Linked DNA regions of Danio rerio. The protein of the gene in region 1 purifies or fractionates together with the protein of each later gene. This does not show direct contact. Links are inferred from orthologs where the notes say so. Each region holds a gene or a part of one and is shown on either strand. Other genes may lie near its edges.

Region 1 (5,895 bases):
AGCTGGCATCCAGCATTTTGGTGCATTAGCCTGTTTATTGGTGACAGGAAAACCCACTTAAGTGCATTCCTGCCCCCTACTGGACATAAGTGTGTATCATAACCCTTGACGAATAGTGACACCAATAATAAAACAAACATAAAAAACTAATATTAGACAAACATATTTTATTCAAAGTGATTACTTAAGCAACTTTATATTTATTAAACCATAATAACATTTCCAATAATTTAATTGCATAATAAACCTTTAATTTTGCAGGAGCCTTCCTTTGCATTACCTTTTTATTTATTTATTTTTTATAATTAGCATAATCTATTTTCATATTTCAACAGATGTAATTCCTCTAATAATCACATTATTTATGTTTCTTAAGGTTTGCAATAACCTGATTCATGACAAATAATAATCTTGTTCATTACACTCAAAGGACTTTTACGTTGAAATTGAACGACTTCCTTTTAAAGTGAAATAACTTCCTTTTACTGTGAAAATTCATGCATACACACATATGAAATCACTTGCATATATGTATATACACAACTAACTGTATATATGTTTGTGAATTTTATTTTGTATGTTTGCACAAGTGTCATTTGGTTGTTTATGCACACATCAAGTTTATATTCTTATGTGAGAGTTTATGGGTGTATATGCATAGATCAAGTTTATATGTATATGCAAGTGTGTATAGGTGTGTTTGCATGCAGCAAGTTTATATGTATGTGCGTGTGTTAATGTGAGTGTTTATGTGAGGATCGAGTTTATATGTATGTGCGTGTGTATGTGGGTGTATTCATGCGTCAAGTTTATATGTATATACACAAGTTTCATCCATGTTGTTTTGAACATCCAGTAGTATAGGTGTATATGCGAGTAATTTATAGGTGTATATACACGTGTTTTATGTATGTGTTGATAAGCAAAGTTTGATTTAAATCCTATACGGCACCTCATATTCAATAGCTTTATTAGATAAAAATATATATTTTTTCTGAAGAAGCCAAAACTGTTCCCAATCTGTCATCAAATATCCTTCAGTTTTTTACTATCTGAATTTCGTCACCAGAACCACGTGACTGCAAACAACTTGACATTCACCAAACAACAATAAATGAACATTAACTTATACAATATCTCGTTTTATTTTTAGCATTTAAATGTGTTCATTTATTGTGACTTTTTGGAAGTTCACTTTGGTTCAGGCACACTGCTTTATATGTGTTATTTATATTATATTTATTACACATTTATACATGTGATAGTGACACACTCAACATGGCGGATTTGGGACGCCAAAACATTTTACGTCGAAGCTGGTCAAAGTTCATTTGTAGTTTCCCGGGAAAACGATCTGACGTTAAATCTACCACATGTCTGCGAGTGTTGTGTTGTATATCTAAAGAATACATTTGGTCTGCATCTATTTGTTACAGTCTGTGGTCTGCATGCATATTACGGGTAAGTTGTGAAACAAAAATATTTTTAGAACAATGCCTGTTTTACCACTAACGTTAACTTATAATGTGATCAAACTAAACCGTAGTCTCACGATATAAACTAAAATTACAACATTAATTTCTGTCTTTTAGTTTCTTAATAAACACGTTATTAAGGAAATATACACAACACGTAAACATCTTCAGATGTATGCAAGTTATTTTACTTTGAGTACTCTTTGTGTGAGCAAAAGCTTCGATTTCTAATTTACTTTTTTTTTTAAAGCATGCTTTCTCAGTTAACTGGTTAAATGTTTTTCTTTGTTTGGCACTTTTACTTTCGGCTTGCAAACTTCATAATAAGTACACAAAGGTTTCACGACCATCTCCTGTGTTTTGATCGCCCATCAGCTGTGAGAACAGGACAATCGCCCCGTAACATTGCATAATAATACCAGATACTTTGAGTTTCTGACACCTCAATATCCAATAGCAAAAGCCCCAGTGAGTCTCTGAAACCTTTAATCATTGCAGCCTGACATTATAAGATCTGCTTTGAACACAACACTCACATTTTCACCGAATGCAGCCATGGAGAAGATTACCGAGAAGATACTGCTGGAGAAAAGCTCTACAAAGACGAACAAACTGGACCAGATCAAGACCCTCAAGTAAGAAAGTTCATTTGTTGACACACCACACACGTTATAACACAGATATAAACACTTGCACACATCAAAATGACTGAAGGTAGTTGCCATATCAACAGTGTTGGGGGTAACGCACAGTGGCGCAACTACAGCTTTACTGAGGGGTATGCGGGTTCAAGTCTTGTAACAGGAAAGTGATAGTGCTAAAAATTTCCATAAATAAATTAAAGATATGTTTTCCTCATCAACATGATTCAAACAAATACATTCGCAGTTCTGAACACAAATGAAATAGTATGATGTAGTAAAAGTATATTTACACTTAGCCTGTCGCAAGGAATTACATCTTATTCCAACCCAAACCTCTTCTCAGTTGAATTCCCTCACTAAATACCTTGCTTCTGTACTTTTTGTACAATTGTGAAAACAAAATGATAGATTTGGTAGTCCTAAAGGGCAAAATAACACAACAATGCAATTACTTCTCATATGCGAGGTGTAAGGTCTGTCTTTGCATGAACAATTGACTGAAACTGCTCTTACACCTCTCACAAAGTTAAATAAAAAAGACTGTAAACTGTTTAGTGTAAGAAATAAGCAGAGAAAACCTGCCTAAAATGTTCTTTTTATCAAAATGTTATGGGCGAACTTTTTGGTAACTAAAATTCAAATAGTTTTGAGCAAAAAAAGTTACCAAAAGGCCTGATGAATTAATATTTAGGCTTTTATTTTAGAATTAAGAACTGCCTTTCTTTTGATGCTAAAAAGAAGCTGGTTGAGGCAACATTCATGTCGACATTGTACTAAGGTGATGTTATATATATTCATGCTTCGTCTCAATGCTGAATGCATTGGATACTGTTTACCATGGTGCACTAAGATTTATAACTAATTTTATATCCCTTACTCATCATTGTGTGCTGTATACTAGGGTAGGTTGGTCTGCTTTGTCCATTCGTAGGCTCAAGCATTGGCATATTCTTGTTTACAAATCTATACTGGGTTTACTCCCATCATATCTACAGAATTACATTTGTAAAAAGCCTGTTCTTAAATATGGTCTACGTATATCACAGGATATTTATTTGCTGTCTGTTCCTAAAGTGCGGACTGAGATGGGGAAAAAAGGCTTTTAAGTACGCAGCACCTTTTGCTTGGAATAATCTGCAAACACAGTTGCAGTTCAAAGAATTGATTTCACTAAATGCTTTTAAAAAGACTATAAAAGATTTAGAAGTTGAAACAGGATTGTAGATGTTTTGAATAGTTTCTCAGTGTGATTCTTGTTAACTAAGTTGTTTTTTTGTTTGTTGTCTGTTGGACTCATGTAACTTGTGTACGGCCTAATTTTGGCCAGGACTCTCTTGTAAAAGAGATTTTTAATCTCAATTCGTCTTTTCTGGTAAAATAAAGGGAATAATAATAATATGGCACAAAATAAATTCATAAAAACATCTATATGGTATAAAAATGGATCTTGATAGAAGGATTAATAAACATTTCAGAATATAATGACTATTTGTTCATGTGTCAGCTTTAACAGGGTTAAGAATCTTTATAATCAAGTATATAAAAGTCATATAAGGGAATTTTTTTATCCAAAAATTATTTTCTATTTATCTGAATATATATTGTACTTACATAAACATACATTTTGTCTGATCTCTCTCTTATTTTGGCAAAATAATTATTTAATAATCAATAATAAAAAATTAAGAAAAAATGTTTTAGATTAATCATAACTTTTGACCTCAGCTGTACTGTATGTACGATTTGACAGTTTATTTTGATAAGGATTGTAAAATCTAAACAGTTACATCTACATGAACACTACACTTGGCTGTGTGCATGTTATTGTGCTCAATGATTTTGAATTAAAACGCGTGTGCCAACGTATGCAACTCATGGTATAATTTTTAACTAAACTGTTGATTTACAAGGTTAATGCATTTCTCAATGAATGTAATCCACAATTTGAATCCTTTACGCATGGTCTTGCAATACGAAGTAAAGTTTCATGAACTAATTTCTAAGAGGAGCACATGATATGATTAAGCACGACTGGCTGCTCGTCTGTAATCAGTAATAATCTAATCAGAGTGATCCTAGTTTACTATTAATGGATAATTTTCTCCCTACTGTTCTATCTTCGTTTTGGAAGAATCCCCCTTCCACCGCATCTCCTCCTTTTCCTCCCTTTTCTAAAGAGGGAGCTCTTGAGACCTACATGATCTCGGTTCTCCTGATATGTTTTTTGACCGGGCGGGAGCCGTGGGCTCAAATATCTCCGAGCTCTGGGCTCTTTCCCGGGACAGCATGCCAAACCTGCTATAAATGCTGAGCATATCTAAGTGGAAACTCTTGAAATGTAACCGGGTCCGGATTGAATACCCGATCCGGACCGGAGTCTGGATTTTGAAAAGCCCTGTTATACAGTGTGTTGTTAATTACTCTATTAAAAAAAGGTGAAAAAAACACTGCAAGTTTCAAAAGAGATCAAGCCTCAGCCAGGTCAGAAAAACTGTGGTTAGCGTGCTGACATATGGTGCAATAGCACGTCAGGGCGTCGCGAGTTCGAATCCCGGCTCGACGATATTTCCCTACCCTACCCCCTCTCTCTCTCCCACTTCGCTTCCTGTCTCAATACTGTCCTATCTAATAAAGGCAAAAAGGCCAAAAATAAATCTAAAAAAAAAAGAAACGTATCGTATTACTTACCATAAAAGTAAATAGGTAACGCAACTAGTTAGTTATTTTGGGAGTAACTCAATATTGTAATGCATTACTTTTTACAATAGCATTTTCCAACACTGGTAGAACACATAAAAATATATATTCATTAGATCTGATAACATTTAGATCTGTTCTAAATTCACTAAACTTTGGGTTTTTTGAGGCCTGGTGCTTTGAGGCCTATTTGGAGATTACGTTTTTTTACTCCAAGCTTTATGACCTGTTAAAAAGACAAGCATATTCTGGTTAGGTATGTTTTAATGCTGGTTCCTAGCTGATTCTTTGCTCCTCCTACATTTGCCGTCACATGACCCTCCAAATACCAGCATAAACTAGCATCAAAACATACCTAATTTGCATGTTATGTTGATTTAAACGGGTTGTGAATTCACTCAAACCAAAGAGCATAGAATCACCAAGAGGCAACACTCTAGTGCAATTTGGGAAACAGCCTCTAGATGGCGTGGCGGCCATTTTGGCATGAAAACTCCAATTCACCTTATTCTCCGCCGACGAGGGGGCGCTGCCATTTGAATCCTTTTGGCTTGAGACTTCCTGTCTCATTCACTTCCATTCATTTTTTGACGTTAAAAACTGCTCATTACGCTGCTTGATGTTGCAATTTGATATTTTCTTATTATATTATTCTACTTGGTCTGTGTAGTCATGCAAACATTTGTTTGTAGAGCAAGTAGTTTAACCGTTTTCTGCCGTTTATTATTCCTATTATTCATTTCTCCCATAGGCGACTGAATCGGAAGTTCTAAGACGATCGCGAAAACAGGCGCACTTCCGCATTTTAGAATAAGGTCAATAGAACAACAACATATTATAAGTATGTAAAATAAACTATTAAAAGTGCTGATGATTATAATGTTAAGTGTTGTATTGGCATCTTTCAGGTTGTATCTCAGCTTTAATGCGCGTTTTAAAATAAATAAATAAATAAAAAACAAAGCAGCTGCTTGCCATCGCAACAGCAATAAGATCCAATGGACAGCCGATTGCTTTCACTCCAGAGTGGTGGAATCCGGGGCTGTTGCTGGGCGCTGCTGTTGCAATGGAACGTTCTA
Region 2 (5,962 bases), on another chromosome or scaffold:
GTAATTTCAGCCTTCATTTAGATCCAATGTGGATTCAAATTGTACTCAAATCCTTTGTGGATTTTGACTGGATTGAAGCTGGATTTTGCTCTGATTTTTTTATCTTGATTTATCTGGATTCAGTTTTAACTGCACTCGGGTCCGTCAGGATTCAAATGTAGTCCAGATTTAGATCCTTTATGGATTCAGTGTGGATGCAAAAAATTATCCAGAATCTGGATTCAGCTCAGATTTAGCTCCTTTATGGATTTATTGTGGATTCAGATTTAATCTGAATTTATTCCTAATCTGGTCCTTTTTGGATTCGGTGTGGATTCAGACCCTGTCTGGATTTAGTCCCAATCTGGTCCTTTTCAGATGCAGCTTGGATTCAGATCCTATCTGGATTCAGTCCAGGTCCAGCTCATCTGTAGTTTCAGTGTAGACTCTCTCCTTTCTGCATTTAGTTTGGACTTTTGGTCCTCTGTATATTCAATCCGGACTTGGTTGTTGCCTGGGGTGCCAGCTAAACTCAAGTATAGACAGAACAGCTCACAGATGTCGCGACAGACTAAGCAGTTTTGGTGCCAGATGTCACAGTGATTCGTTCAGCGTGGATGTGGCAGTCTGTCCGTGACTCCAATGATGTTCTCTTCCAGCTCTCCTCTCATTCAGTGTCTGTGCATCCGCATCATTCAGCCAAGCAATCTCATTAAGGTGAATAATCACACTCGGGACAGCATAAAAATAATGACTAAACTCATAGGAAAACACTGCTCATATGACGACGACGCATTCCAGCGCATCATAGATAATATTCCCAACGCAAATGTCAGTATGAATACTTAATGATGACCCGAATAAATTAATGCTTGGATGGTGTGCGAATGAGACATATATATACTAAAGGGTACATTTATATAAGCAATAATCTACCTTGTACAGTCCAAATGGTCGTTTCCACGAGGCTACTATGGGAAAAGACTGATTTTCCGTGATCAGTCTCGCCGTGCTGTTGCGTTCAACAGAAATAACGGATGCTGGGATGACGACACTTGCACTGCATCATATTTTGCGTGTCCATTCTTCTCAGATTTACACGCACAGACAGTTGCAACACGCAAATGTCGCTCTCCTCTCGGCTTCTGGCTTAACGGCGCACCACTGCTCCATCCGATTTAATCCTGCGCGCACATCTCGGAGCAAGAAAACCCACTGCACCTGACCAAAGTGATGTCGACTCAGTGCAAAAAAGCAGGGATGAAAAGATTCATTCCGCGCGTGTGGTTGTCAATGAGGCGCGCTCGAGCGAACAGCGCAGATTTCAGGCACACCCGAATATTCAGTCTGCGTCTGTCACTCCCGTCCGCATAGCAGATACAGGAGAGATTCAGAAAAGAGACGCTGGCATGACTCTGTGATCAAACAGAGTCCGATATAAAATTGTATCCAAAATCGTTTTTGTGTCTCTGTGAGTTTCGCGAGAATTATGACCAAAGATTCTCCGATTCAAACGTTATAAAAAATTAATTTAAGAGCAACTGCCAAGAACTACATATCCCAGAGTACCGTATCCGGAAGTGACGCATGCGGCTTGTGACGTATGTTGCGACTTGAGCGGGGAAACTGATGTGAAGTTTACCGTGCAGGAAGAAAGCTGAAAATATATAACCAAAAATTGTAATGTCTTTCTGCTGATACACAACTTGCTCGAGTATCAGGTTTTTATGTTTCTTGTTGTTACTGGTTTTTGCTTAAAAGTGTTATGTTTAGGGCTTTGCTAGTTTGACCACGTGTGAATATCTCTCAGTATAGGTTCTAGCAGTTATGGTTATTAATCTTCAATAATGAACGCATCATTTTTAATAATGCGATATCTAATCTACATCTAGGTTTTGCATTTAAGTTTGTTCAAACACCTGTGTGCGCTCAAGGTTTTAAACCGAGCTTTTTATCATCTGTAGTTTTTATCACTTTACTAAATGCATGTGTTTTGCTGTGATCAGAGGATGCCTGTAACTCTGCAGTGTCCCGGTTATCCTGAAGACACACTGCGCACCCTTGCTGAAAAACTGCCATGCAGGGAGACACAGGTGACGTCACTGCTGTCACTCATGGGGCAGGTAAGTTAAATGGCAGAATATGTAATTTTCTATTGGTTTACTCAAAATACTGATTGGAGGAAACTTTTGGTATTACCTAATAAATATTTAATTACAAATAAAATCAAAGAAATCTCATTTAAGATAGTACACTAATTTTACCCTGTTAAGCATTTTTTTTAACCAGATGTATTAAAAAAATGGATGTCAATTGTTTTGCTCATCTCACCCAGAAACAGTACCTTATATTTTCTGGCATTGTCAATACACAAAACTGTTATGGGGGAAGGTATCTAAATTTATAAACGATTAAGTGCTGTCAAATTTTCTTTTACTGTATGAATATGTTATTTTTGGTTTAACCATGATAAGAAGTTGGAAAATGAAGCTTATGTTATGTATCGATATTATGTATGTCATCGATGTTAATTTAGCAATCAGAAACCTCTGTTTTAGTGGTACTTAAAGAACTAAATATTTATATAAATACCATTAAGGGAAGTACTAACAAAATAGCTGTTTAAACCGTGTATTTGTTTGACACTTTTAAGTTAATGTGAGTTAGCAAGGCCTAGCATTATTTAATTGTAATATTTTTTAAGCCTTTTCTATTATTTTATTTCATTTAGTTTTTTTATTATTTTAATACCTCTGGCATTGTTTTGTTTGTATCGTTCTTGCAATAATAATAATAAAAAAGTTAAATGGCAGAATTATTATTTTTTGTTATAGTTTACTTTATACTTAACTGTTGTTTATGTTCTTGTAATAAATTATAGAAATAATAAAAACAATCAAATGTAAAAAAAAACACCATTATAAACTGTAGAAGAAATGTAATAATAATGCAACTTAATGTAAATATGAAAGTAAATATACATAAACATACTACAATATATAAATAATTACATATATGTATAGAAGCTACATATATATAATTAACAATTACTGAACTAAAATCAATTGAAGAAGTGTACTATAATAGCTTACTTAAAATGACGTATTATATATAAAACGGCAATAAAAATAGTTCAAGAACTAATTGGTGCAATAACACTGCTTTTTTAAATTATGACAAATGAAAACAGTTAATGTTTTAATTGTTCTGACCAATTTCATTTTTTGAAAACAAACAAAAAAAATCTTTATGTAAATGACAAAAAAAGTTTGTGATGCTATAACCTTTTACCATGTTCATTAAAAGCTCACATGATTTTAAAAACTGAATAAAAAATAATATTTCATGATTTCTTTATATATATATATATATATATATATATATCTATCTCACATGCACATAAATATGAAAAGTGTATTTAAAATAGTTCTTAAAAAAACACTCTTGTTCAATTTGTCTTAATGCTGCACACTGGCATTGTTGCATTATATAGTGACAGTTGTGATATGTCACATGTTCGTTGTTAACTTGAATTGTGGTTATTCTGTTGATTAACAGCCAGATCACTACAGCTATCCTTCAGTTTTCATCTATGGGCACAGAGCAACGGGAAAGAGTCATGTGGTGCTCACCATCATGAAGGATCTGGAGGTAAGATAATGAAAAAGGATTATATGGAAACCCGAGTTTCCATATAACTGGAGAAGTCCTCATTTATGCAGGTGAAGAAGCACATTACATCACTTTTGCCTAGATATCCCCCCCACCTCCCATATTGACAATCAATGCTGCTAAGCTATAAGTCAGAATCAGGCTGCAGATGTCGTGTATGATGGGCACAGACTAATGCTTTGTTATCAGAGGATATCAAAGTAAGTCAAACAGGTTTTTTGATTTCGAGCTGAACTTGTTTATTTGTTTTTCATTAGTAATGCATCTGTTAGAAGTGATGTTTATGTTTTTGCTAGGGCCATCACAGTTATGAAATCTGTCTGACGATTAATAGCTTTGAGGATTAATTGTCTGTTTTGGGACTTATGGAAATCTAATATTAGTGCTGTTAAGCAATTGCATACAAAAAAAGGTTTTTATTTACTTAATTTTGTTTGTGCTTTGTCCATTTAATAAGTATATATAAATAAGTTCAGTTCAGCATGAGGCCTCTATCTTTAGCGATTTAGTAATTGATCATTTATCAATCACAATATAAACTATATATAAACTATATATAACTATATATAAAAATAATAAACATAGGATGATTTGTTTTTAACAAAACTACTTCAATTTAAAAAATCCATTTAGTGTTTTTCTGCCTTCATTTTAGGTTTCTTGAGTAAACATGTTTAGTGTCAGAAGTGAAAGACAATGGCTGTATTTTGGTGTTGTGTGTGTTTTGCAGCTTCCTCATGCTTCAGTGGACTGTGTGGAGTGCGTGTCCGCTGGACTGCTGTTTTACCAGGTGTTGTCCGCCCTTTTCGGACCAGATTCAGCTGCTTTGCTTCCGCGTTGTCCGTCTTTGTCAGATTTTGTACGCCTGTACAAACAGATGAGCTCCAACACACCTGCCACACAGACACGCTATATAGTGAGTTTTCATTCTAATATTTAACATTCAATGGTTTTGCTTATGTTTGGAGATTTGTCAGTATTTTGGTGTTATTATTAGGGCTATGCAATACACACACACACACACACACACATACTGTATACATTATGTATATATATACATAATTATCAAAATATTGCAGATGTATATATTGCAGTATACATGCCACAGTGTGCATATTATCAGTAATTATTAATAAAAATATTATCAGTTATCTAGATTTGCCATTCATAGATGTTTTGTGTTTTTATTATATATTTTTTAAACTACTGATAACATGTTTTTTTTTTATTTCAAATGATAATATTATTATCATTTGCATAATTTATTTGCAGAAAAAGACAACAGTTGAGTATAAATAATTAATATTTTTAGATCATTTTTAGTCATATTTTCGCCAACATTTGGTTAAATAAAATATATAGAATATTACATGTTGACCGCCTAAAAGGTGTCTTATTTTTTCCACACTTTTGTTTGTTTTATGCCATTGATGTTAAAGATAACATATACTGTAAGTTATTAAATGTCTCTGTAGGTTCTGGACCGAGCTGAACGCATAAGAGATATGGATTTCAGCCTGCTTCCTGCTCTTCTGCGCCTACAGGAACTGGTACACACACACACACACACACACACACACTCAATTTTGCTAATGCTTTACTATAACAGGGTTACAATCTCATCCATTTATAAAGAGGCCAATGCTTAATAAGAGCCACAAATTTTGTTAGAATAGAGTACATGTGGAAATATAATAACTTCCCATCATTGATGCATTTTCTATCTGTTGCAGGTAAATGATAATGTGACCATTATCTTACTCAGCGAAATAGTGTGGGAAAAGTTTCGTCCTAACACCGGCTGCTTTGAACCTCTGCTTTTTCATTTCCCAGATTACAGTAAAGGTGAGTGGCAGATTTTGATTATGCAATAAAGAGCTTTGTTTTTACTATATTATGTAATTGTACCACAAAATAAAAGTGTTTTATAAACATGACTAAAGATCAGATTTGTCAATTTATGTTTTATGTAACTAAGAACCTTCTACTTGAAACATCAAATTTGTGATGGGATTAAACTAGAACGGGCATTTGAGGGCTTTTGTAAAACCGTTTGTGCTTTCTCAATATAATCACAATGAGGTGAGTTTTAATACAGGTTGCAAACAAGGACAAGGACACTGTTAATATTTGGATGGGTGTTTGAAACACTCTGAAAACTTCTGTTTTCTGGTTTCCACAGTGGAGCTTGTGCAGATTCTGTCAAAGGATCATCACCCATCCTACACACCTGAGCTCTACGCCTCCTACATAAACATCTTGCTGGGGGTTTTCTTCTCGGTGTGCAGGGATCTAAGGGAGCTCAGGCACC
Region 3 (4,492 bases), on another chromosome or scaffold:
TATTTACTGGTATAGTGAAAGGGACTATTGTGTAAGTGTTCAGAGCCTGTAAGCAAAGGACTTTTCAAATGATAAGAACTGTGGGGTTAACACATTAATAACATGTTAAAGAGCCCATATTATACATGAAATAGGGTCATATCTTGGTTGTAAGGGTCTCCAACAACAGTTTAATATGCATGCAAGGTCAAAAAATCACTTTCATGGTCTTATAAACTGCATTTATTTTTACCTAATTATCCCAGCGACTCCTGTATGAATCGTTCAGTGATTCATTTGTTCCCAAACCCCTCCTTAGCGCGAAGCTAATCTGCGCTGATTGGACCAATGACAGTCTGTTGCGATTGGTCGACTGCCTTCAGTCGGAGTGAAATGCCAAACAGCTAATCAGCAATATAAGAGTAATCACAGTTCATACACGCTCGATAGTGTAGGCGTGGATTTTAGCTGCCAGTGGGTGAATGTAAATACAGAGATGGACTTGAAAATTCAGACGATTAACTATTTTATTAAGCAAAAACTCCAAAAACTGTCGAGGAGATCACATAGCTTGTCTCACTCTGCTCTTTTCACAGACACAAACACACACACACATTGCCCTCGTCCGCGCACACACACACACACACACACACACACACCTCCGGGCGACAACGCGCGCACACACACACACAAACACACACACCTACCTCCGGACGACAGCGCACGCACACACACACACTACTCTTGCCATGGAGCTCCGTAAACAAAGCAGCACGCGTCTCGTTTTTAACGTGACTTTGCACGCGATAAGAGAATATAGCCAGTTAACCTGATACAGTACACGCGGTTACAAGTAACAAATCACAACTAAATACATTTGCAAGCTAGAGTCAACGAGGCAACTTTAATCGCACGTACTTACACTTGAGAATGGAGGAAGAAACCCATCCTGACGTCCATCAGTAAGTTACTCTTTACTGATCCTTCCTTTAACAAACGCCGATGAAGTATTCTTTGTAGCATGTAGTTTGCAGAAGCTTCCAGTAGTTTCCAACTGCTTGGTTATAATGCTGAGGTTTCATCTTTGGGTAGAGACTCGATATAATATCCATCTGCAGTGTGACTTCAATCGACCGGCATGTTTGTGTGTGTGTGTGTTTGTGGGTGTGTGTGTGTGGGTTTCTGTGTTAGAGGGCGGGGCCGCAGGTTTCAAATCTCCCGGGTTTGCGCGTGCATAACTTGCTTTCGTTAGTACGTCATGGCGAAACACCTAATGACTCGGTATCAAGGCGACTCGTTTGAAGCACTATGAGTCGACTCTTTTATAGATGAATCAACCGTTTAAAACACTGTACTCTTACAGATTTAGCTGGATACTTAACTTCACTTAGAGCTGTGTTACACACTACATGGAGGGGAATTTTCAAAAACCCATAATATGGGCTCTTTAAGTTTCCCAGCCCTAATATATAGATCCAGAGTTGTTACTGTGTTCTGTTGTTGTTGCAGAATGAAAGTCTGAAAACTAATGCTGGCACAATCTCCAGCGCTGCTCCAGACCTCTGCATTGTATACAAGCTTCATCTTGAGTGTGGGAGACTCATAAATCTCTATGATTGGCTTGAGGTACTGTATGAACATGGTTAAAATCAAAATGACACATACTGTAGAGGTGGTTATCTTTGTGCATGTTGATGGCAGATATCCATGTTGTATTTCCAGGCATTTGTAACTGTGCTGTCTGCCGCTGAGGACCAAGATGCTGATTCTGGGGATCATGGACAGCTTGATAGCCTTAAACAGTATCCTTTTACTTCTGACATCTTATATTAGCAATGAATGTGTTCCTAATTGAATATATGTCAATTTTAGCTGTGTCTGTCATAAATCTAATATTAATTGTATGGTTATTCCTGTAGTACAGGGGTGTTCAAACTTTTTGGGCCGAGGGCCAGATGCAAAAAAAAAATACGTTGTCGCGGGCCAAATTTTACATACATAACACAGACACGCATATATAAATGTGTGTGTGTATATATATATATATATATATATATATATATATATATATATATATATATATATATATATATATATATATATATACAGTTGAAGTCAGAATTGTTAGCCCCCCTAAATTATTAGCCCCCCTGTTTATTTTTTCCCCAATTTCTGTTTAACGGAGAGAACTATTTTTTTCCACACATTTCTAAACATAATAGTTTTAGTAACTCATTTCTAGATACTGATTTATTTTATCTTTGCCATGATGACAGTAAATAATATTTGACTAGATATTTTTCAAGACACTTCTATACCGCTTAAAGTGACTTTTAAACACTTAACAGGGTTAGTTAACTAGTCAAATTAAGGTAATTAGGCAAGTTAATTAGGCAACAATGGTTTGTTCGAGTAACGAACCTTTCTCTGATACAATTGAGTAAAACGGATCACTGGTTCAGAAATGTTCATTTCACCATCAGTAAGTTTTACTTGGTATATTTATGTGTTGAAAATATCTTTAACTTAACATAAAATAAAATATTAATCCAGACACATTATCTTGTGATCCAACATTATACACTGTAAAAAAATCTTTAATTTTTTTATGGTTTACTTCCGACAGCTGGGGTGCCGGTTGAATTACAGAAATGTACTGTAAAATAACAGGTTGATTTACAGAAATTTATATTTAAGAAAATTTCTGTAATTTAATGTATGTTATTTTACGGTAAATTTCTGTAAGTTTCAAGACTTAAGGGGCTAATAAAAAATAATTTATTTTAGTTCATAAAAAATTAAAAACTGCTTTTATTCTAGCCGAAATAAAACAAACAAGTCTTCCTCCAGAAGAAAAAATATTATCAGACACACTGTGAAAATTTCCTTGCTCTGTTAAACATCATTTGGGAAATATTTAAAAAAGAAGAAATAAATCATAAATTTAATAGATAGATAGATAGATAGATAGATAGATAGATAGATAGATAGATAGATAGATAGATAGATAGATAGATAGATAGATCATAACAAGAACTGCTGCTTAATTGAATGCGTGTAATAGCGACACCCGGTGGTTATTTATTGAATTACATTCATTTTTTGTGTAGCGGGCCAGATTCTATTGGTATTTATAAAAAGCCTCGCGGGCCGCCACAAAACTGATTGCGGGCCGCAGATGGCCCGCGGGCCGTAGTTTGGACATGCCTGCTGTAGTATGTATTGGTCTTAACATTTAACAGTGCTCGGTTCATTCAGGCCGTGTCTGAGATGGAATTTCTTGGTTTTGTTAAATCAACAAAACAGAAAACGGACCATGTGGCAAGACTGACATGGGGAGGATGTTGAAGAAAACTCCCTGAACACAACAGACTGGCCTGACATTCATAAATCAGGTCAATGGTATTTTGTACTGTGAGCTTTATTGCAATTAAACTTTTAAAAATTCATGTTGTACTTGTAAAAATGCCATTGAAATAAAAAAAAATTATTCTGTTTGAACCTCTGAATAGTTTTTTTTTAAATAAGACTTTAGATGTCAGTCCACAGTCTCCACAGTCAGAAATATAGTAAGAAAATGGAAGGCCACAGGAACAGTTCTTGTGAAGAAAAGAAAAGAAAAATATCTGAAAGATTAAGGTGAACAATGGATAGAATGGTCACAGACAAACCACAGACCACCTCAAGGAGCTCCAGGAACATCTTGCTGCTAGTAATGTTATTGTGCTTTGTTCCACAGTCTCCACAAAGAACAGCTCAATGGAAGGTGATGCAGAAGACTTTACTGCATTCTGCCAACAAAAAGAGTTGTTTGAGGCTGGGGGCTAGCAAATTTATGTTGGGGGGGGGGGGGGGGGGGTGTTTGTACGTCCCCCTCACTTTTAGAGACTAATCATTTAGAAACAGGTGATTAATAATTATACTAACATTACCATTTTGATCTCATACAGCTACTCAACCCCCCCTGCCCCCATACTTTTAAAATGTTCGCTAGGCCCCTGGTTTGAGGTATGCAAAGACTCATGTGGACAAGCCTAAATCTTTCTGGAAAAAACTACTGTGTAGAGATGTCACAACCAGAGATGGGAAGTAACAAAGTACAAATACTTGTATTTGAAGTATTTGTACTTTGTTACTGTACTTAAGTAAATTTTTCTGGTGTCAGTACTTTATTCCACTACTGATTTTTCTGACAACTTTTTACTTTTACTTCTTATATTTTTACACAAATATCTGGACTTTCTACTTCTTACATTTTTTTAATCGGGCTCGTTTCTTTCGTTTTCATGTGTTTGGTGGCACGACCTATATTATTTCTTGTCATTGCGCGTGAACATTTTTGATGCTGTGTCTAGTTTTCCTCATTGCGCGCCTGCTTGCTGTACTGCGCAGTCTTTTCAAGGCTGTCACGCACCATACGTGGTCTAGTTTATAAGATTACTCTGAGAAAAGCTGCGTCCCAAATGGCACACTATACACTATATGCACTCATGCGCTATCGGGGTTCCCGCGG
Region 4 (5,270 bases), on another chromosome or scaffold:
CACAACTGTAGAATAGTATTGAAGGAAAAGCTCAAACACACTGATTCCTTGTGTACCAACATGGGAAAATCAACAAGCCAGAATCAACAACAAAGCCAGATTACAATTAGCTAAATGACACTGGGGAAAAAACTAAATTTATTGAGACATGTCCTGTGATCTGATGGAGCTAAAATTGAACCGTTTGGCCATAATGAGCAGTGTTACATCTGGAGGACAAAGAGGAAAGCTTACAAGCCTTGGATCACCATCCCTACTGTGAAGTATGGGGGCGGCAGCATCATGTGGGGCTGTTTTGCTGCAGGAGGGACTGGTACACTTCACAGCATAGTTGGCATCATGAAGACAGAACATTATGGAGAAATACTGAAGCAACATCTCAAGACATCAGCCAGGAGATTAAAACTTGGCCACAAATGGCTCTTCCAAACAGACCATGACCCTAAGCATACTGCCAAATTAGTTCAAATGTGCTTTAAGGACAACAGAGTGAATGTTTTGGAGTGGCCATCACAAAGCCCTGATGTCAATCCTATAGAAAATGTGTGGGAAGAGATGAAAAAGCTTGTGTGAGCAAGACAGCCTACAAATCTGACTCAGTTACACCAATTCTGTCAGGAGGAGTGGGGCAAATCCCCCCCCCCCCCCAAAAAAAAATTGTGAGAAGCTTGTGGAAGGAGACCCAAAACATTTAACCAAAGTTATACAGTTTAAAAGCAAAGCTAAGAAACACCAAGGCAGTGTGTGTAAACTTTTGACTGTCTAGAAATGAATAAAAAATTCTCAAAAAAAAAGTCCTCTCCTTATTCTGGCCTTTAGCAAATGTAAATGATTTAGTTAATCCTAACGGACCTAAAATAGTAAACATTTAGTGATTTACCATCAGACATAAAAAAAATGGTTATGTTCCTTTTTTAGAGTGTATGTAGACTTCTGGTTTCAACTGTATTTGACATTTATATAGTTTTTGTACTCTTCTGTAAAACATTGGCATTGTGTTGTCTGAGAAATGAATATAAATATAAAAAACAAGGCTCCTTTTTGTTATTTTATGCACAAAAATTATCTAAATGACAACAGTTTTACTTTAAGAAGAAATGTTATCAGCGGTTACAGAATAAAACAATCAGTGTGTTTTAAATCCAGATAAGCTGAGCATTTCTATGTGGCCTTTGTGTTGTGATGTTTGCTAATGTGTGTGTTGTTTGTTGTGCAGTTGTTGGGTTGTGTTCTCCGAGAGCTCATGAGTCTGAAGGAGGTGCAGAAGAATGTTCTGCTGGTGGAGCTGAACGGTGAGATCCTGCACATCATCTTAATGTGTTATACTCTGTTTTAAACATGAGCTGCGTTTGCATTCAAAGATATGCATTAGATTTATGTGCAAATATGCAATAACGCATAAAACATTACTGAATAAAGCAGCATTTACGTCTAATGAGAAACAAAAGAGCACAAAATCAGCACTTCTTGATAAACTTGCACTAATATAGCTGAGAGAAGTGTAGTTGGATCCGTTGGGATTTGCCACTGGTGTTTTTTCTCCTCTAATAAATGAGTTGTGCCCCAGAAGACGAAGATGAAGCACAATAAATGTTTTTTAAAGAATAAAATGCTTTTAATGCACACATAAGTGCAGTTAATACTTAAGAAATGGTTATGTTTAATCTTTTTTTCGCAAGCTAAAATTCATCACAGGCTTTTCTCAGCTCTTTTCTACACGTCGGATGCTCTGATTAGATCAGAAATTGGTGCATTCATGGATAAGAGACGGGGCGTGTGTGTAAGTTGTTTACTTTGAGTCTATTCAGACGTGTTCCCAAATTAGGTAGTGAAAAAATGTGTGTGTAAGTTCACACCCCCTTTTGAATAAGTAGAATTCAGTCATTAAAAGGTGAAAAGGTCATGTTGTTTTTATGTTGTTATATGATACGCTATGCTTCCATCATAAAGATATGAATTAATAATGCACACATGTGACTAATGTGCATATGGAATAACACAATAGTGAATAAATCAGTGTTTCAGTCTAATGAGAAATAAGAGAAGAAAATCCTCAGTTCCTGCTAAACTTGCACAGATATTGCTGAGAGAAGTGTAGTTTGATGTGCTGGGATTTGCTACTGTGGTGTTTCTTCTCTTATAAATGAGTTGCGCCTCAGAAAACGAAGACAAAACCAATATATAGTGAATGTGGTGGCCTTGGGAGGCGTAAGACATGAGCGCAGACAGATGCTCAAGACAGTCCTAGAGAGAATAATAATAGAAGCATCTGGCAAAAACTACATCACAGCACGCAGATTGATCGAGCACATGCACATGTGCACTATATTAGTAAAATATTGCTGGCATTTACTGGAAAACACCCGGTAGCCTGCTGTATGCTAGAGACGTTCAAATTCAACATTTGTGCTTGCAGATTTAATTAATCTTGCTGTTTTTGTTTTATTAATGTTCCTCATTCAGCTCCAATAGTTTTGTCTAATTTCACAATTAATTTTTTTCAATATTTCAATAACAAGCTGTAACAAAAATAATAAATAAAGTTAGATGTATTGTTCATTGCTTTTCTGATGCGCATAAATGAAGTTTATTCAGTACAATTTTTTCCATCATAGTTTTTTTATCTGCTAAAAAGTTTATCCTACTCAATTGTCGGCATAGGATTGTTATTCTGGTCTAATATCTTGGTGTTTCTATTATACATTTTTTATTGCAAAGTTCCAAAATGTGGTTTAAAATGGGTGCATGGAAACTCAGCATCTGGCTTTCTGAATGCAGGTCTTCTGCAGACGGATGATAAAATTGCTCTGAAAGAAATCACGCGGCAGCTGCATCTGGAGAACGTCGTAGGAGACAAAGTGTTTGTGAGTTTCAGATATTAGTATTCTGATATTGGGCAGTTCACCCAGAAATGAAAATGTACTTAATATTTACTGACCCTCAAGTAGTTCAAAACCTTTACGAGTTTCTTACTTCTGTTAAACACAAAGAAGATTGTTGGAAACCTGTAACCATTGACTGACACAGTAAGAAAAACAAATACAATTGAGGTCAATGGTTACCGGTTTCCAACATTTTCCAAAATATCTTCTTTTGTGTTCATCAGAAGAAAGGATCTCATGAAGGTTTGAAACATGTTAAAAAGTGTGCAAATGATGACAGAATTAAATTGTTAAGTGAACTAACCCTTTCATGTTTTTATACTGATGGTTTTTTTGTGTTTCAGGGCAGTTTTGCGGAAAATCTGGCTTTTCTTTTGGAGGCTCTCAAGAAAGGTGAAGCTTCAGTTGTTTTTATGTTATCTGTGTGTGTGTGTATGTATGTATATATATATATATATATATATATATATATATATATATATATACATATTTATATACATACGTGTGTGTGTGTATATATATATATATATATATATATATATATATATATATATACACACATATATATATATATATATATATATATATATATATATATATATATATATATGTATATACATGTGTATATACATGTGTATATATACATACATTTATTTATAATACTGTACTACAATTTGAATTTATTTCATTGATAATTAATAACTTATTATTTATTTATTTTTGTCCATTTAGTTGTAGTTTAGTTTAGGTTTTAATCATTTTATGTATATAATTTTAGTTTCCTATATATTTATTTACTTTTAAAGTTTTTTTTACATTATTGATATATTTTAAAGAATTTTACATTATTGATCATCATAGATATCAAACTGAAAAAGCATATCTATATAATGTAATATTAAAAAAAGCATAATCTTTAATAAATGATGAAGTTATTATCATGTAATATGTTTTTGATGTTTGTTTATGCTTATGTTTTGATTCTACCGTTAGTTTTTGTATTTCTTTATATTTATTTACTTCAAATAAGTTTTAATAATATAATTTATTTTATCTGAAAAATGTAATGTAAAATTAAAACATTTTATTTATTTAATATTAACATTTTTGTATCATCTCTTACTGAAAATATAATAATCTAGTCATGAAATAAGCCATAAGGTGCTGATGTGACAATAAATAAACCAAAAAACAAAAGTACTTTTAATTTGCGGTTCTAATCTTATTGCTTATTTAATGCTTCATGCAACACGTCTAGTTTTAGTCTAGTTTGTTGTGCACCATTTGATTTTGTCATATTAAAAAGGCTCCCACTTTATATCAAGTGGCCTTAACCACTACTTGCATTAGAAAATAAATACAGTGTACTTACTGTTCATAATGTTTTGCAGAACACTTGTGGTGCTCTTAGGGTGGGATACAGGTCAGGTTAGGGACAGGTTTGGTGGTATGGGTAGGTTTAAGGGTGATGCATTTATTTTTAAGCTTTATTGTGCTGTGTTGTCAGGTGATAAGAGCAGTAGTCGTCCTGTGCTCTTCTTGCTGGATGAGTTTGATCTGTTTGCTCATCATAAGAACCAGACGCTGCTCTACAATCTGCTGGACGTTTCTCAGTCTGCGCAGACGCCTGTGGCTGTGGTCGGACTCACCTGCAGACTGGTGCGGCTTCATACAAAACAGCCAGCAGACATCTTCGATGATGTAATGATGTCTGTTTATGTCATTAGTCTTCATGCAGTGTTTTTCATTGTGTGTGTGTGTGTGTGTGTGTGTGTGTGTTGTAGGATGTGCTGGAGCTGCTGGAGAAGCGGGTGAAGTCTCGATTCTCTCACAGACAGATTCATCTCTTCAGTTCTCTCTCCTTCAGTCAGTATGTGGATGTGGTTCGACTGCAGCTCAGTTTGCCTCAGGATTTCCCAGATCACAGGTTCTCCAGCCAGTGGAACCAGAGCGTCACGGTACACACAGATTCTTGTATACATGACGTACAGGGACTCTCCATAGGCATAATGCATTTTAATGATCTTATTCTTGACGTACTGGCGGGTCCAGCTTTTGTCTTGAGACTTCTGCTCTCATTCACTTCCATTTGATTTTTAGACGTTAAAAATGGCTCATTTGTGCTGCCGTTTATTATTATTACCGTTTATTATTACAAGTCATTTCTCCCATAGAAAACAGGTCGGGATTTCTAAACAAATTGCAAAAACAAGCAAAGCTCTACACATTGAAGAATAAGGTCAATACAGTGAAAAACACTTATATTCATTTATTTATTGCATCCTACCCCGACCCGATCCATAAACCCATCCCTCACAGAAAACCTGTGGCAACATTTACATTAAAAAACCTGCTTAAGGATGATTTTGTAAGCTGATTTTATATGGT

The links.
Region 2: the proteins of lrwd1 (region 1) and orc5 purify together in Homo sapiens (affinity purification with mass spectrometry; 4 studies listed by BioGRID and IntAct, with this or other methods). This does not show direct contact. The link is inferred for Danio rerio from reciprocal best matches to the Homo sapiens genes LRWD1 and ORC5.
Region 3: the proteins of lrwd1 (region 1) and orc3 purify together in Homo sapiens (affinity purification with mass spectrometry; 4 studies listed by BioGRID and IntAct, with this or other methods). This does not show direct contact. The link is inferred for Danio rerio from reciprocal best matches to the Homo sapiens genes LRWD1 and ORC3.
Region 4: the proteins of lrwd1 (region 1) and orc4 purify together in Homo sapiens (affinity purification with mass spectrometry; 3 studies listed by BioGRID and IntAct, with this or other methods). This does not show direct contact. The link is inferred for Danio rerio from reciprocal best matches to the Homo sapiens genes LRWD1 and ORC4.

The regions. Positions count from the first base shown.
Region 1 is NC_133180.1:67,369,779-67,375,673, forward strand, and holds the start of lrwd1 (leucine-rich repeat and WD repeat-containing protein 1), read left to right. Parts: upstream 1-2,030; coding exon 2,031-2,110; intron 2,111-5,895. UniProt on the Homo sapiens protein: Required for G1/S transition. Recruits and stabilizes the origin recognition complex (ORC) onto chromatin during G1 to establish pre-replication complex (preRC) and to heterochromatic sites in post-replicated cells.
Region 2 is NC_133179.1:22,958,999-22,964,960, reverse strand, and holds the start of orc5 (origin recognition complex subunit 5), read left to right. Parts: upstream 1-1,605; 5' UTR 1,606-1,700; exon of another isoform or gene 1,701-1,788; intron 1,789-1,985; 5' UTR 1,986-1,988; coding exon 1,989-2,102; intron 2,103-3,537; coding exon 3,538-3,630; intron 3,631-4,381; coding exon 4,382-4,567; intron 4,568-5,126; coding exon 5,127-5,201; intron 5,202-5,384; coding exon 5,385-5,496; intron 5,497-5,833; coding exon 5,834-5,962. UniProt on the Homo sapiens protein: Component of the origin recognition complex (ORC) that binds origins of replication. DNA-binding is ATP-dependent. The specific DNA sequences that define origins of replication have not been identified yet.
Region 3 is NC_133192.1:55,382,367-55,386,858, reverse strand, and holds the end of orc3 (origin recognition complex subunit 3), read left to right. Parts: intron 1-1,488; coding exon 1,489-1,605; intron 1,606-1,701; coding exon 1,702-1,781; intron 1,782-3,221; coding exon 3,222-3,327; 3' UTR 3,328-3,488; downstream 3,489-4,492. UniProt on the Homo sapiens protein: Component of the origin recognition complex (ORC) that binds origins of replication. DNA-binding is ATP-dependent. The specific DNA sequences that define origins of replication have not been identified yet.
Region 4 is NC_133181.1:1,843,932-1,849,201, reverse strand, and holds part of orc4 (origin recognition complex subunit 4), read left to right. Parts: intron 1-1,216; coding exon 1,217-1,292; intron 1,293-2,778; coding exon 2,779-2,864; intron 2,865-3,226; coding exon 3,227-3,275; intron 3,276-4,389; coding exon 4,390-4,541; intron 4,542-4,666; coding exon 4,667-4,840; intron 4,841-5,270. UniProt on the Homo sapiens protein: Component of the origin recognition complex (ORC) that binds origins of replication. DNA-binding is ATP-dependent. The specific DNA sequences that define origins of replication have not been identified yet.